Linked DNA regions of Drosophila melanogaster. Changing the gene in region 2 together with the main gene of any one other region gives a genetic interaction. Each region holds a gene or a part of one and is shown on either strand. Other genes may lie near its edges.

The links.
Region 1: of clu (region 2) and TER94, changing one suppresses a phenotype caused by changing the other (phenotypic suppression), as found in Drosophila melanogaster (one study listed by BioGRID).
Region 3: of clu (region 2) and Drp1, changing one suppresses a phenotype caused by changing the other (phenotypic suppression), as found in Drosophila melanogaster (one study listed by BioGRID).

Annotation. Positions count from the first base shown.
Region 1 is NT_033778.4:9,988,215-9,994,139, forward strand, and holds TER94 (transitional endoplasmic reticulum 94), read left to right. Parts: upstream 1-1,988; 5' UTR 1,989-2,083; coding exon 2,084-2,175; intron 2,176-2,256; coding exon 2,257-2,359; intron 2,360-2,445; coding exon 2,446-4,482; intron 4,483-4,548; coding exon 4,549-4,703; intron 4,704-4,769; coding exon 4,770-4,863; 3' UTR 4,864-5,345; downstream 5,346-5,925.
Region 2 is NT_033778.4:16,184,741-16,189,713, reverse strand, and holds the start of clu (clueless), read right to left. Parts: upstream 3,131-4,973; 5' UTR 2,792-3,130; coding exon 2,578-2,791; intron 1,826-2,577; exon of another isoform or gene 1,560-1,825; intron 1,137-1,559; coding exon 50-1,136; intron 1-49. Other genes in the region: CG8441 (uncharacterized protein), read left to right, coding at 3,729-3,902, 3,963-4,550. UniProt on the Drosophila melanogaster protein: mRNA-binding protein involved in proper cytoplasmic distribution of mitochondria.
Region 3 is NT_033779.5:2,580,662-2,587,075, reverse strand, and holds Drp1 (dynamin related protein 1), read left to right. Parts: upstream 1-1,645; 5' UTR 1,646-1,804; coding exon 1,805-1,906; intron 1,907-2,674; coding exon 2,675-2,819; intron 2,820-2,877; coding exon 2,878-3,542; intron 3,543-3,757; coding exon 3,758-4,209; intron 4,210-4,264; coding exon 4,265-4,610; intron 4,611-4,673; coding exon 4,674-4,902; intron 4,903-4,966; coding exon 4,967-5,178; intron 5,179-5,237; coding exon 5,238-5,294; 3' UTR 5,295-5,795; downstream 5,796-6,414. Other genes in the region: Arpc5 (Actin-related protein 2/3 complex, subunit 5), read right to left, coding at 6,190-6,414.

The DNA.
Region 1 (5,925 bases), 6.2 Mb from region 2:
AAAATAAAACAAAAAATCGTGTGAATAAATCAGAGCTAAAGACGTCGGACTGTACAGCAGAGTTTGGTGGAAAAGAGAGAAAAGCGAGGAGAGCGCTGTTTGCATCATACACCGCAATGAATGAGTGCCCCATAATTGTGACTTTGGGTCTGAGGCGGTTCCGCTGCCCTGCCCCCCGCTCTTCGCTGCTTCCTGCGCCGCGGAAGGCGACGGCCATCTTTATCAGCCACCCCGACTCCCCACTCCTCTTCATCGTCACCCTCATCGTCACAAAAACTGGTTTCCGCTCGCCACTTTCTTTTGCTCTCTGCGCAGGCGCTCTTCGAAGACAAGAGACTTGCAGGCGATTGGTTGAATTCGTTCTGCGTTTCTATGGAGTTTGCTCCCATTCTTTTGGGGGCAGCGACCACGCCCAATGACGCTGCTCTCCTCTCTGCCGACGTCGCTGTCACTCTCTTAAGTACTAAAAAATAAAACTGAAAGTAAAGCTAAATAAAACGCTGCCATAATTGGCATCGTTAATGCCAAAACCATGAATACTAAAAAGTTTTTACGAGCATAAGCTGCGATTGAGCAGTTATTGTAGGGACAGGTTGATGGCCGAGTGTTCTAGGGAAATGAATGAATGAAGATTTTTTCTTACTACCAAAACTTCTACAACTAAGTGAAATAGACGGATTGAGTTCTACATACTTCCTACATATATTTTAGATATAGACATAGCCGAAAAGTATGCTGCACTTTTTCAATAAAAACGTAAGCAGCTACGTTATCACGCATGGCTTCATAGCAGCGATCATCTGCCAGCGAGCATAGCCAAGTTAGGCACCTGCACACATTGCCACTCTTTCCTTTAGCGTTGCCACTTCAATTTCTTTTACAAACCATCGCAGCGTGTAATCGATATTTTCTAAGCCCAATCGATGAATGTCCGGTAACGCACATCACCAATCTGTTTCTGCTGCCTCATCTTTGAATTTGACTAAAAGTGCCGATTTCCAGCTCAACGAATAGTCCAAGTCGCGCCGAATTGTACAATTAAGTTAAAAAGTTCAACGTCAACTAGTTTATCATGGCAGATTCCAAGGGGTAAGTGAACTGGACGCCGAAATAGGCGCCGACTGTGTCGGTCCAAGTCGAAATTCACAAATTTCGCTCAGTCATTGAGCCGAAAAAAATACGCAAGGGCCACATCGCAGACATACTATTATTTAATTGTGAAAGGCTTTCGCCGATTTCCGCGAGACAAAGACATTTACCGCGACTTTTCCACTGCTCGGTTGCAAAATGTTGCGAAACTAGGGCAAACCTAAAAACCGAAGAAAAAAAAACGCCAGCGAGAATCGCCATTTGCAGTACGTTGTTGTTGTTGTTGGTGTTACTGCCCTTGCAGTTGTTGTTGCCGCTTGAAAACTTACGATTTCCCTTTGTTGTCCCAAAAATACAAGTCATCCTTTGCTGGAGGATACAATTTTCCGGTTGTTGTAGTTATAACTTTGGATACGAAAAACAATACTGCATACATATATGGCAGCTATTTCTATAATAAATCGCGAAAATCCTAAACTATATGCCGAAACCACTTATTTCAATGCTACCTATTAGTAATACCTTTTTTGATATTGCATTAATTCTAGAAAAGTCTTTGTGCTCCCTCAACTCGCCAGAAGTAAAAAAAAACATATCGTTTAAGTAACAATAAATGCATAATTTACCTCAAAGTTTAGAAATTATTATAACAAATGGCGCCAAAAAAGTTGGCATCGAATACAAGAAATACAAACATACTTTTATAACTAAAGACAATAAACAATTGTACTATTATTCCGATTAATATAGATTTTTATGAACGATATAGGGTGATAACCTTTTATGTTCAAAAATCTATCAATAAAGATTGATCGACATCATCACGTTAGCAACGAAAAATGATTCGGCAGGCCTAATTATCCAGATGCTTAGTTCCATTCCGTATTACTAGTGAAAGTAGTTTCCATAAATTTATCAAAACTAACAAAAAAGGCAATCCAAAAAAACAAAAAAAAAAACAAAAAAAACAATGTCTGGCGGCAAGAACGATAAGATGGATCATGATGGGGATACGAGGGACTTTATGCGGGGATATCACAGCGAGCAGGATGAGAAAATGAAGCCGAAAGACTCGTTCGATAAGCGGTTAGGCCAAATTATATATAAGACATAAGATATTTCTTTAGCGACGAGTCTTACGCGATGCTTTTTTCTTCTACCCTACAGTGAAGATCTGGCTACGGCGATCCTGAAGCGCAAGGACCGTCCCAACCGACTGATTGTGGAAGAGGCGCAGAATGACGACAACTCTGTGGTGTCGCTATCGCAGGTAAGATTCACTCTCCCAAAGGCCACGTCATCGCATGGCTAATTCACATGACTTGGCTGTTCTTTTTCCCCCTTAAACTATATCAGGCGAAGATGGATGAGCTGCAGCTCTTCCGTGGCGACACCGTGATTCTGAAGGGCAAGCGCCGAAAGGAGACGGTGTGCATCGTGCTCTCGGACGACACCTGTCCCGACGAGAAGATCCGCATGAACCGCGTGGTGCGCAACAACCTGTGCGTCCATCTTTCAGATGTGGTTTCCGTGCAGTCCTGCCCGGACGTCAAGTACGGCAAACGGGTGCGCATCCTGCCCATCGACGAAAGCACCGAAGGCGTTACCGGCAACCTGTTCGAGATCTATCTGAAGCCGTACTTCCTAGAGGCCTATCGGCCAATCCACATGGGCGACAACTTTATTGTGCGCGCCGCCATGCGTCCTATTGAGTTCAAGGTGGTGCTGACCGACCCGGAGCCCTACTGCATCGTAGCTCCCGAGACGGTAATCTTCTGCGACGGTGATCCAATTAAGCGCGAGGAGGAGGAGGAGTCCCTAAACGCCGTTGGCTACGATGATATCGGTGGTTGCCGCAAGCAGCTGGCCCAGATCAAGGAGATGGTTGAGTTGCCTTTGCGGCATCCATCGCTCTTCAAGGCCATTGGTGTGAAGCCACCGCGTGGTATTCTTATGTACGGTCCCCCGGGTACCGGTAAGACCCTGATTGCCAGGGCTGTGGCCAACGAGACCGGAGCCTTTTTCTTCCTGATTAACGGACCGGAGATCATGTCCAAACTGGCCGGAGAGTCGGAATCGAATCTGCGCAAGGCCTTCGAGGAAGCCGAGAAAAACTCGCCGGCTATCATCTTCATCGATGAGATCGACGCTATTGCCCCCAAGCGTGACAAGACCCACGGTGAGGTGGAGCGTCGCATTGTGTCGCAGCTTTTGACCCTGATGGATGGCATGAAGAAGAGCTCCCATCTGATCGTTATGGCTGCTACCAACAGGCCCAACTCCATTGACCCGGCCCTGCGTCGCTTTGGACGTTTTGATCGTGAGATTGACATCGGCATTCCAGATGCCACTGGACGGCTGGAGGTGCTGCGCATTCACACCAAGAACATGAAGCTGCATGATGATGTTGACCTGGAGCAGATTGCTGCCGAATCCCACGGACATGTGGGCGCTGATCTGGCTTCACTCTGCTCTGAGGCTGCCCTTCAGCAAATCCGTGAGAAGATGGACCTCATCGATTTGGAAGACGATAAGATCGATGCCGAGGTGCTGGCGTCGCTGGCCGTGACAATGGAGAACTTCCGCTACGCTATGACCAAGTCCAGTCCATCGGCGCTGCGTGAAACTGTTGTTGAGGTGCCCAACACCACCTGGACAGACATCGGAGGTCTGGAGAGCGTCAAGAAGGAATTGCAGGAGCTGGTGCAATACCCAGTGGAGCATCCGGACAAGTTCTTGAAGTTTGGCATGCAGCCCAGTCGCGGTGTCCTTTTCTACGGACCCCCTGGTTGCGGTAAGACGCTGCTGGCCAAGGCCATTGCCAACGAGTGCCAGGCGAACTTCATCTCAGTCAAGGGTCCCGAACTGCTGACCATGTGGTTCGGCGAGTCTGAGGCCAACGTGCGCGACATCTTCGATAAGGCCCGCTCGGCGGCTCCTTGTGTGCTCTTCTTCGACGAGCTGGACTCGATCGCCAAAGCCCGTGGCGGTAATGTCGGCGATGCTGGCGGCGCCGCTGATCGTGTGATCAATCAGATCCTTACCGAAATGGATGGCATGGGAGCCAAGAAGAATGTGTTCATCATCGGAGCCACCAATCGCCCGGACATTATCGATCCGGCCATCCTCCGTCCGGGCCGTCTGGATCAGTTGATCTATATTCCGCTGCCCGACGACAAATCGCGTGAGGCTATCCTGAAGGCTAACTTGCGCAAGTCGCCGCTGGCCAAGGAAGTAGACCTTACCTACATCGCCAAGGTGACGCAGGGCTTCTCTGGCGCCGATCTGACCGAGATCTGCCAGCGGGCTTGCAAGCTGGCCATCCGACAGGCCATCGAGGCTGAAATTCGTCGCGAGAAGGAGCGCGCCGAAAATCAGAACTCCGCGATGGACGTAAGTCATTTAGCTTAGCGCAAAAAATAAGAATGTTTATGTTTGACTATTTACCCATATAATCAGATGGACGAGGACGATCCAGTGCCGGAGATTACTAGCGCCCACTTCGAGGAGGCCATGAAGTTCGCTCGCCGTTCGGTGTCCGATAATGACATCAGGAAGTACGAGATGTTTGCCCAGACTTTGCAGCAGTCCCGTGGATTCGGACAGAACTTCAGGTGAGAATTGAAAGGCATTTCTTGTTGGAATCCAGGTTACTGATGATAGTGTATATGTTATTGCAGATTCCCCGGTCAAACCGGCAACACCTCAGGATCTGGTAACAACTTGCCAGTTAACTCGCCCGGCGACAACGGCGACGATGATCTTTACAGTTAGATTTCTAGTTTTACACCGCAAAACAAAACCACAAAATGGAACTTTTTAAATGAATTTTTTCCGTAAAACCGAGCAAGCAAAACCAATCACATTCGCATCCTGGACGCGGTAACTTACTACAGCAACCATTGGCTAAGACATCCAGCCGATGGCGAAATCAGATGACATACCCGATTCAATATTCACTTCTTTGATACCATCCTTACTCTTGGTCGCGGATACGTGCAGTAGGAGAAGGTTCCCATTTGGATTTGGGCTCGCCTAATCCGAAACCATTTTAATTGGCGAACTATTCCGCGCCTCACACTAATCATTCGTGCATTGTCGGTAGAGTGGCTCCGATATATGAGTTTCTATAAACATAATTATTAACGATACACATACACACATACATTTAAAGATAAATACATATATTAAACACCGTAAAATTATAAGTGTATTTGGAGCTACATTTTTAAGTGAATAAAAATTATAAATTCAACAAAATCATGTGCTTTAAATTGAAGAAATATTGAAAAATAGACGCAACGAGGTAATTGGGTGTTGAGATTAAAGAGCAAGAGTTACATAATCAATTATTTATTTTTGATAAGGTTCACTAGCAAAGTGGAACGTTGCTTTATTTTAACTGATCATTGGCCACAGTGCAATAAAATGCGTAATAAATTAAATTGGTCGGTACTCGTATGAGTGCAGTGAAAAAATATGTCTTCGTGCCTCGATTTCTGCAAGTCCAATTTAGTCATCAAGAGTACTAACCAAATCCATACTGTTCCCATTTGAAAATATCATTTCATTTGTTTTATCGCATTTATTAAACTTGTATTAATTCGTCATGTTTGCTTTTTCTGGTTTTCAATTGTTTTTTCACTTTTATTTTTATTAATTCTTTGCGACATAACAAGGACATCTTAATATGAAGTTAGTTGAATTCTTTCATATTTAAATAATCATTATCGCTTCGGTCTTATAAATAAACTTTCTTTGCCATTCTTTTAACCGCTCGTTAATTAAATCAATGTTTTGGCATCGGTAAATGATAATAAGGGAAATAATATTAAT
Region 2 (4,973 bases):
TGTTAACATTTATGTAGTAATACTATTAAAATCTTTTTGCTCAACCTACCCCAATTTTGAGCTGAATGCATCCTCGGCACGAATAGCGTCCACTGTGTGCTCCAGGATGGGAGCTGCCCACTGGTACACCTGATAGGGCGTGGCTACACGCTCGAAGGCATGACGCATGGTGCGTCGCTTCTGGATGGTCTGGAAGGCACGTCGGAACGATGGTGATATGTGGGAAAGCAGATCGATCAGCGAGTGGCTGAGGTGGCTTGGATTGTCGGGCTTGGGATTAAAGGTGTCGTCTGTCGACTGGTTGATGAAGAAGCCCTTGGAACAGGCTGAGATGTGGAATCGTTTATCCTCCATGGTGACAACGTACAGATACATGAGGTCACCATGCAGCTTGCGAGGACCGGGTGGCGGGTTCCAGGCGGATGTAGTCAGTACCTTGAGAGCCTGCGGTCCCTTGGCGTTCTTCACATTTGGATGCAATGGCAGAATTGGCGGATCACTTACACCCGGAGTCACATACTCCGGCGGAGTGCAATCCACGGAGTCCGGTCGCGTCCTCTTCTTGTCCAGCAAATCACCCTGAGTGATCGTGTTTAAGTAGGTCAGCGAAGTACAGTCAATGCCATTGTACGCGTCGGCCGGGTCAAGGTTTTTGAGAAGATCACGGACATGGCGCACATGAATACGGGCCTCCCGCATGGTGTACGGCTCCTCTACCACTTTGATCGTCGAGCCCTGCTCAAGGTTATTGATTGACTTGAGTTCGGCGAAATTGTCGAGCGTCACGTTGTCCAGCTGCAGCGAGAAGCATGTACGATGGCACGTCTCTTCGCGGTCCATCAGCAGCTGGTGGATTTCCTGCACCAGCTCCATGCTGGACAGCTGCACGCAGAGCAGATCGGCGCCGGGACTGCTGATGTTCACCGTGATGCCAATGTCCTGCAGAGCGTCCAGATCAATGTCATCACCATCAGCCTCAGCATCCGGTGCTCCTCCTTCCTGCGGTTTCTCCACATTGGCATTGGTATCGGCATTGTCCTCAACTGCATCCACCACTGTGGGCTTCTCGGCGTGTCCGTTGCTCAGAACGGCTTCGGTTGTGGGTTCAGTTGGGCTTTTGTTGCGGTTCTTCTTGCCTACATGGGGCGATGAAGAAGTAATTTGTTGTTAGTCAATATTGGGAAAGGCATATGGAGCATTGTGTAACCTATTCGATGTATAGGGAGAAACGTGAACTTTGGACCGACTTTTGTTTCCATGTCTCTCAGAAGAATCTTGTATAAATCCGTTATTTATTTATTATGGTTCATTAGTATGTTTTTAAAAACAAAAGATTATTCTTAGGAATTTAAATTTCCAAGCAATGCTGCCAAGTTTATGTTAGAATTTAATGTTTACCATTCTTAATTTATAAATAGTGGTTTATATCTAGTTTAATAATTAAACCTTGATATTATTTGAAAAATGGTGACAGAATTAAAGGTAATGCAAATACGTTACACGTTTCTTTTCTAAAATTGTCTGGCAATATATAATAATTTAAAAAGAGGTGTCTCTACCTCCAGGCTCCGATTTTTACATAACAATACTGTCCGCACACTTTTGTCGCTCAGTTTGTCTGTGTTCGCCGGCAAGCTGTGTGCTTGCATATACATATAAAGGCATATGTACATACATTTACAACAAAACAGTAGAAAAACAAACAGAAAGAGAAAAGCGAGCTGATAAGGCCAAAGGGGCCGGGTTCGTTCGGAGTCCGTACGAACGAACAGTCCACCGAATAATCCAATCTCCTTTCGATCTCTCAGGAAAACGGAATGGGTTTAACACGACCATGCTAATTTCAACAGCCGTATACTAAATTACAGCACTGTGAGATACATAGAGATAGAGCTAGGGAGAGAGAATGAGAGAGGCAAAGAGAGTGGGGAGAGGAGAAAGCAAAAGTGATAAGTACAATGTTCATTAACCGCAAGGAATTCGGAGAGAAGGAGACAAAGTGTAGAGCGATGCGTCTACGGATAGAAAACATGATTTACATAATTGTCGAACAATTTGCGTGTGTTAAGTGCATGCATTTCGGGCCGCGCACGTGTTAATTGTAGGTTAAACGCAACAAGAAATCCGCCCGGGGGGTTAATGAACATTTCGTCGCCGTTGCCGGGTTAATAACATGTGCGTTGCCATGCCAAGAGGAAGAGAAAGAGCGAGAGAGATAGGGAGCCTCACACTTGCAGTTCTCACACACGCACTTAACTCCAATAATACACACACACACATTTACGATTGCAATTGTAACCCACGCGGTTTATGGAGAGAGGGGGAGAGGGAAGGCTCGTAAAAGGGGGTGGAGGGGCAGCCATAGACAACGGGCGCCGCTTTTAAGGCATTATAGGGAAGAAAAAGCCCATTACGTAATGTTAAAAATGTTATGTGATTGGCTTTTGTGGCAAATAATATATTGAGGCAGTTTCCAAGGCAGCAAAGCTAAGAGGAGGTGGTGATGGGTTGGTGTGTGGGTGGGTGGGTGGTTGATTGGTTGGTTGAACATGGGCGTAGGCGGAAAGTTAAACGCACCTTTCTTCTTCGCAGCCGGCCCGTCGGCAGCCGTGCCATTGCCATTGACCAAGTTCTGATTCGAATTCTGCTGATTCGAATTCGGATTCAGGTTCTTTTTGCCGCCGGCCGTGTTGTTGTTCTCCTTGGCCTTGCCGCTGGCCTTTGTTGCTGTTGCTGTTGCATCGCCCGTGGCCGTTGCATTTGAATTCTTCGCCTCCGTTTCAAGCGCCATGCTTTTGTTTCACCTGCTCGCCAAAAACTCAACAAAACCAGCGGAGGAGACACAGAGTTCTAGTTCACGTTTCTTTTTTTTTTGGGCCCGTCCGTCCGTGTTACACAACTCTAACCGCTCGCCGAGCTCGGGGTGATTTCGGTTCGATTTTCAGTGTCTTTCTGGTCGATTGCGAACGTGATTGTTGTTTGGTTAACGATCTCGTACGCATCTATGACAAGTGGGTCTTTGCTAGTTCTGTTCTTTTCAGCACATTACTTATCGAGGATATAAATCGGCCGATTCGCTAGAAAATAACGCGTTATGTTGTTAACGGCTGAGAGTGTGACCACCGGGTGAACATTTAAATATACCGCTGGCATTGGCTTGGTTGCAGTATTTTAATTAGTATTTAGTTATTTGCTGTGTATAATTGCAGATGGACAACAACTAGTGATAGGGATGCACACGCAAAAACGATACCAATATATATGATTGCATTTATTTTAACAACAATTGTGTTCTGTTTAATAAAAGGTAATTTATGCACAATACAAACTTATTTTTATTTAAAACAAATTTTTAAGCCTTTTTATAAAGTGCGTCATATTAGCGTCGTTGAGGAACAGTGAAATTTGTAACATGGGTAGGTTTTTTTTATTTTATTTGAAGGTGAATTTCTATTCAACAATTTTTAAAAATTAATTAATGTAAAGGGCCTGTTTTAAGGATGGGTTGGTTCATAGCTGGACCTACTGTTATGAAATTATCTCAAAAATTGAAATTTTCCTGAAATTCCACCGTTCCGCCATCGCCGCTAACTTATCGACTCTAATTTGACGCATACAATTTTACAGATCAAGCATAGTCCCCGTTAAGTTTTTTTTTTAATTCGGTGTGTATTTTTTACGACTTGTAATACAGCCACACATAAAATACTGTTTTTAACCAAACAAACATGTCGCTTATAAAGAATTTGGTAAAAGAGCCCGAACAGAAGGCAAAGAAAAAGAAAAAGAATGCGGGATCTGGAGAAAGCGATTCCGATGAGAAGGACAAGCCTCTGCGGCCGTTCATCAAAACCGCGACAGATCTACAGAGGCTGAAGCTGGAGAAGCTCATGAAGAATCCGGTATGTGTTTGCATTGGAAAGCTGGGTGGACATTCATATTAATAAACCTTTTATTGCCAGGATAAGCCCGTGGTCATACCGGAGCAGCGTCGCGAACGGGACTTCATGTCCTCGGTGCCCACGTTCGTGCGGAATGTGATGGGAAGCAGTGCTGGAGCGGGTTCCGGCGAGTTCCATGTGTACCGCCACTTGCGACGCAAGGAGTACGCCCGCCAGAAGAACATCCAGAACCAGAGTGCCCGCGAAGCAGCAGATGAAGCTTACCAGCAGAAGTTGGACGACAACAGACGCGCGGCCGAAGAAAAGACTGCTAAGAAACGAGCCAAACGGTTGAAGAGAAAACAGAGGGCGAAAAAGCCGAGAGAGGACAAGAAGCCACTGGCTAAGGAAGCCTCAGAGGATAGTAACACAGATTCCGAGGAAGAGCCCACAGAAGAAAAGGCAGAAAGTAGCCCTGAGGAAGGACAACAGGTGGCATCCAAGGAATCCGACGACAATAACACCCAAGAAACTTCGAATGAAGAGGCAGTGAATTCAAATACAGAAGCGAAAAGCGCAGAGGACACAAATGCAGTGGAATTAGATAGCACCGAAGCTACAAAGGAATCCCAAAATGTGGATCAAGAACAAGACAAGCCTGTGCCTTAGTACCTCCTGTTCTATTCCTATCAATAAACCGTTTAGAGTAATAAAACACAGTGCGGTTTTATTTATAGTACTTTTGTAATATATATATATTAAGCGATTTCTATACATCGCCAGTATCTAGGGGTTTTCATCTGAGGCCATCTTTCTAAAGCAGCTTGGTTGAGAAGAAAGCGTTTTGCGAATTATGCATTGAGTTGTCGTGGCTTTAGTGCGCATTTTGTTTTTTGTTGTCTTACATTTATAAGGTGCATCAAATGTTGCATTTTTGAGTATAATAAATGCTTTCAAAATTTGACATCGCAGGCAATACATTAATTATACCCTTGACAGAAATCCACCATTTTTAGTTCTGGGTATAAACATATTTTTTTCTGGTTTCTTGAAGAAGCAAGTTTTTATTGTTTTCAATAATTAGATTTCTTT
Region 3 (6,414 bases), on a different chromosome or scaffold from region 2:
GAGAAGGGGGCGTGCCCCATCACCATCACCCCCGCCCGTCTTTCGCAATAACTGTCAACTCAAACTCAAGAAGTTTTCCACGCCGCACATTTCGGCAAGTTGTCAAGCCAGAGATACGAAAGTTCCCCGGTCCAACAATGCCAATTTGATGGGGGAAATTTTGAAATATTTATACACACTCAAACACACAGATACAGCAGAGGTGTGCTGGCAAAGTTGCCAGCCAAATTTGTTAATTGGAAGCCGAAAGTTTATCTATGAAAATGCTAAAGAAGCCCACTTGCAGTTCGAAAAATGCCAGAATGTATAATAATGGGGCAAGAAATGAGATTAGTCAGTATCCCAAACTTGAATGATCAAAGTTTCATGGATGGCGTAACTAATTTTGAAGTGGAATGATTAAATTTTGAAACTACTTATAATCGATATTACCATCCTGCGATCGGAACAATAAACTCAAACAATTCGATACTTCAATGGGATTGTAAATAATAAGTCATCTTAAATCATCCCAAGCATATTCAAATCGCTTGGAAGCCATTAAAGAGATAAGCGAGCATTGCAAAATGATATCAGCCAACTTGTAACAATTTTCATTGTCATTTTCAATTGGGAGCAGCCAGGAGGAGCTGGCCAAACAACAATGGGAACTGTTATCAAATAGGACACATGATGCATACGTGAGTGGGGGCTTCTATGCACATGGATGTGGTACATACATATGTACGTCCAATATTCTGGTCCATTTGGGCCAGGCCACTATCGAAATTTGAATGCTTAGTGTACCGGGCGACAAGCATCCTCGAACATTGAAATAAACCGATAAAAACGACAGATGAGCCCGGCATTTCGCCCACAATGCATGCCAGGCAGGCAATCGAGTGTGGTCGAGAAATAGTCGGGTAGCCCCCTTTTTGGTTTTGGGGCACAGCTCACTGCCCTGCAATTCTTATATAAAACCGGGGAAGTCCCCATCCCAACCGCCCATGCAAATCTCGAGCACTTGAGGCCGGTCCCCAGATTATTCCTTTTCCCTATTTTGGGCCACGTGGTCTGACCACTTGGCGGCTGCTCCAACTTTAATATTTCTTCGTTTAAATAGTCCTTTATTTCTGCAGAAATTAGACAAAATCAAAGACAATATATTTATGCTATATATTCATTTTCACTGTTATGTCTGTAAGGGTATTCAGAAATGCGCCTACTCTGTGTAGTTTTTCAATTTAGTTAGATACGATGAATATATTGAGATTCTGCCAGATTTAGATTGTGGTGTGTGAGTTTTCAGATTGGTTTGTAAGGACCCCTTTTGTTTGGTCCATATCAATACAAACTCCTCATGTGCATATAAAATAAGTAAAAAGGCAAAATATGAAACAAAACAAAAAGAAAAGGACATTCATATTTTGTAGCTATTGGGGGATTTTAAGTAATGTTATGAAATCATACCTTTCTTTATTTGTGTAAAGTATTCAATACACGCAACTAACGGGCAAAATTGGAAACACCCAAAAATTCAATTTTGGCGCGCACAGAAAGCTGCCCTTTTGGAATAGATTGGCAGCACTCTCGCGCACGGTGGCAACCTCGTCTAGGGACTGCCGATAGCAGCAAGTTCCGCCCGTGTGGCAACACCGCTAGAAAAACAGTCTAAATTTGCTGTGCAACACTGGCGGTTTGCAAAAATAATTTCGGTGCTCGCGTCAATCAGAAAAAGCCGAAAAGAACGGCCTTTATGTGCGCGAATTAATCGCCAGCCGAGTGGAACGCGACCAAAGGAACCCAGCACACACACACACTCAGAATGGAGGCCCTAATTCCGGTCATAAACAAGCTGCAGGACGTCTTCAACACCGTGGGCTCCGACTCCATCCAATTGCCCCAAATTGTTGTTCTAGGCAGTCAGGTAAATGCAAACTGCGAGGTGCCCAAAAATCCGCACACCGAAAACCATAAATCCCCGAGCTCCGTAAAAGGAGTGGCAACTGAGAACCGGAATATGGCGCAGCTATCTGAAACCCCAACTCTTGCGCTTTTCCAGTGACCGCAAAATTATATAACTGAGTGCGTTTGCCGGCATTTTAGTTGTGTTTTCAGTTTGTAGCAACATTTCAGCCAGCTTTCGCTCTTCGCGGCGTCCCCATTGTTTATATAATTATTTTTGGCACTGCTCGCCGCCGCCATGGAAAATCAATATGCCACAGTATTATACAAAAACGAAAAAAAAAACAGCTGCTGGCTGATGTGACACATTCCCCCACGAACACACTGCAAAAAACAAACGTACACATGTGTGACTTCGATAGTTGTGTCTGTATGTACATATATGTGTGCATGTTTCGATCGCTGGCTTAATTGCACTTTGATTCACGCTCTGGAATTAAGTCAGTATGACTAAATGCTCGCGCAACTCATTGATACCGAGTACAGCGGAGCTCCAATATGTTGAATCTGTGCCATTTCTTACCATTCATTTGGTTTTCTGTTGCAAAGGCTTAAGTTTGAGAAATTTGCAATCACAGAATGGCTCCCATTGCCAGATAAGAATAGTTAATCTGCGGTTTTCCAAGTGTTTCCTCGCTGCAAACGCTTGGGAGCCACCTTATCAGGTCATCGTCTTTTATCAGCCGTCGTTTTAACTCCCAGTAATACATACATTTCCCCTTTTTTCCAGAGCTCCGGCAAGAGTTCGGTGATCGAGAGCGTTGTGGGACGATCCTTTCTGCCCCGTGGAACTGGTATTGTGACCCGTCGCCCACTGGTGCTCCAGCTGATCTACAGCCCACTCGATGATCGCGAGAATCGCTCGGCGGAAAATGGTGAGTTGAGACGTCAGAAGTTCGGGAAAACCCAATTGCTAAACCACATAACACTTAGGTACGTCCAATGCCGAGGAGTGGGGCCGCTTCCTGCACACCAAGAAGTGCTTCACGGACTTTGACGAGATCCGCAAGGAGATCGAAAACGAAACGGAGCGGGCGGCGGGCAGCAACAAGGGCATCTGCCCGGAGCCCATCAACCTGAAGATATTCTCAACGCACGTGGTCAACCTAACGCTGGTGGATCTGCCCGGCATCACCAAGGTCCCGGTGGGCGATCAGCCGGAGGATATCGAGGCGCAGATCAAAGAATTGGTCCTCAAGTACATTGAGAACCCGAACTCCATCATTTTGGCTGTGACGGCCGCCAACACGGACATGGCCACCAGTGAGGCACTCAAGCTGGCCAAGGACGTGGACCCCGATGGCCGGCGCACTCTGGCCGTGGTCACGAAACTGGATCTCATGGATGCCGGCACCGATGCCATCGACATCCTGTGCGGCCGGGTCATTCCCGTCAAGCTGGGCATCATCGGCGTTATGAATCGCTCGCAGAAGGACATCATGGACCAAAAGCACATCGACGATCAGATGAAGGACGAGGCCGCCTTCCTGCAGCGCAAGTATCCCACTCTGGCCACCCGGAACGGCACGCCCTACTTGGCCAAGACCCTCAACCGGCTCCTGATGCACCACATCCGGGACTGCCTGCCAGATCTTAAGGTGAGTCTAGTCTATAAAGACTGCATATCGATTTCACAAACTATGCGAGAATCTCAGGCTAAAACTTCAAGAAAATGTAAAAAAATGAAACAAACTTGGCACTCGATTATAATCGATCTTTATATTTTTCTATGGTAAAGCAAGAGAAGATTAATGGCAGATAAGGTTAGAATAGCATGTTGAATTCAAGAGAATGACTTCCCATATTCTTGCAGACTCGCGTCAACATCATGGCCACGCAATTCCAATCGCTGCTGAACTCCTATGGCGAGGATGTCTCCGACAAGAGCCAGACCCTGCTGCAGATCATCACGAAGTTCTCCAGCGCCTACTGCTGCACAATCGAGGGCACGGCCAGGAATATCGAGACCACGGAACTGTGCGGCGGTGCCCGGATGGGCTACATTTTCCACGAGACCTTCGGCCGCACCCTGGACTCCATTCACCCGCTGGCGGGTCTGAGCAAGATGGACATACTGACAGCCATCCGGAATGCCACTGGTCCACGCCCGGCTTTGTTCGTTCCGGAGGTCTCGTTCGAACTGCTAGTGAAGCGCCAGATTCGCCGCCTGGAGGAACCCTCCTTGCGCTGCGTGGAACTCATTCACGAGGAGATGCAGCGCATTGTTCAGCATTGTGGCAACGAAGTGCAGCAGGAGATGCTGCGGTATGTGAACTCATGATAGCTGAACGCCAAAGGTTTTCATCGATCTCCCCTACAGCTTTCCCAAACTGCACGAGAAGATTGTGGACGTGGTCACCCAGCTGCTGCGTCGACGTCTGCCGCACACCAACGTGATGGTGGAGAACATTGTGGCCATCGAGCTGGCCTACATCAACACCAAGCACCCCGACTTCCACAAGGATGCCGCTTTGGTGCCCAGTCTGCTGAAAACGGACAGCGATCCCTACTCACAGATAAATCTGGGGCAGCGGCGGGCCAATACACCGCGAAACCACATGTCGCCTCAGATTTCGTCGCACAGTGCTGGTTCACAGCAGCCGCAGCAGCAACAGCCGCCGCAGCCGAATTCCTCACAGCAGCAATATAGCCAAGTGCATGAGCAGGTGCCAGCGGAATCTTCATTTATGTATGCAACCTATTTAACCCATTTTCGTTTCGCTCTCTAGAACCACGTCGCCGAGAACTCGACGCCTTCGATGGCCAGCACATGGCTGTCAAACATTTTACCGCCGGCACCAACGCGTCCGGACAGCATTGAGAACTCGACCAACAACACTCCGGTTCACAATAACATCGTGAGTCCAGTGAAGCCGGTCAATCTGCTGCCCGATGTGCCGGCCAACCACAATCCACGTCGCCTCACTGACAAGGAGCAGAAGGATTGCGATGTCATCGGTGGGTTGCACTTAACTCGGGCCACTTAAAGACCTAACTCAATCTGACTACTTTTTGTTTTTAGAACACCTGATCAAATCGTATTTCTACATTGTGCGCAAATCCATACAAGACTCGGTTCCAAAGGCCATCATGCATTTCTTGGTTAACTACGTTAAGGACAACTTGCAGAGCGAATTGGTTACACATCTGTATAAGTCGGATAAGGCTGAAACCCTGCTCAACGAGTCCGATCACATTGCAGTGCGCCGAAAAGAGGCGGCAGATATGCTGAAGGTGCGCTTGGCTAGCTTATACTTAGCTTGACATCGTTTTAAACTTACTTTTGATTTCAGGCACTGACGCGAGCGAATCACATCATCAGCGAAATCCGCGAGACCCACATGTGGTAGGCTGGTCAGCGATTGGAGCAACCCGTTTCGACTTAATAATCCCCGCATATAAGCAACATAAAAACTATTTATTGAAGACGCGTTCAAAGAGAACGAACTCCTTTGTTAAATGTTCCCCCTACCGAGCACTGAAATATCATCAAATTGCATGCGACCCCCAAATTCTGGGCCTTTCATTTAGCCAACTCGCATTTCTATTCGCCTGGCATTTGTCTATCATCGAGCCTCTCCGCTTTTTAAATTAATAAGAAGTTGTAGACGCCGTGATTGGTTTGATTAGGTTACTCAAAGCACTTATTACACATTGAATAGTCAAATAAAGCAGAAAAGGTTGATTCAAACATAGTAGATGTGTTTTCTGTCACGGCAGCTAAAAGTTTACGAAGGCAACGTCATCATGTTGAATGATACACCTGGAATTTCGATTAGATAAGCCATTATGTTCGTAAAGTTGCTAGGCTCAGTCTGAAGATTAATAAGTGTTTAAATCTGATAGGAGTTGAATCTTCCTGAGTTTTGAGATGCGTAGCAATTGCTTAGCCTTACTAAAAACAAAATTTTTCTTACAAATTATGTTACATGTAGGTGTGGCTTGAGTGAACTAGAAGTACGTTCGTTCCCCTGATTGAAATCACTGCCACTCACCTTTCGTAATAAAAACTTTAATACTTGGATACCAGTTAAAATCTAATTTGGAAAACGTCATTTGTATTGCGGCGAAGAAACAGAAGTGGGTTCCAGCTGGGGCGTGGCAAATCCCGAAGATAAGGATGTGGTGTCCAGTGCTCCAATCCTGTGTTGATTAAATGCTCCGCGATGCGTATGAATCGGTTTATGGGGCAGGGAACAGTTGGGGTAGTGACTCTATGACCGCCTTTGGCTGTGCTGATCTCCTCTAGGCGCGATTTGTGTCGGACAGCACGCGGACAATGCAGCCCACTCCTCCCTTGGCGAAGGCCTTCTCATGCCACTGCAGCAGGTGGCCACTGGAGCCCTCCGAGGGGATCTCGAATCCCCGATATATGTACTTCATCAGCACGTCTATTAGGTCGTTCTGGTCCAAGGTGTCGATGGCCTGGTCCATTTGCGTCGACTTGATGGACAGCAGCACCCGCAGCGT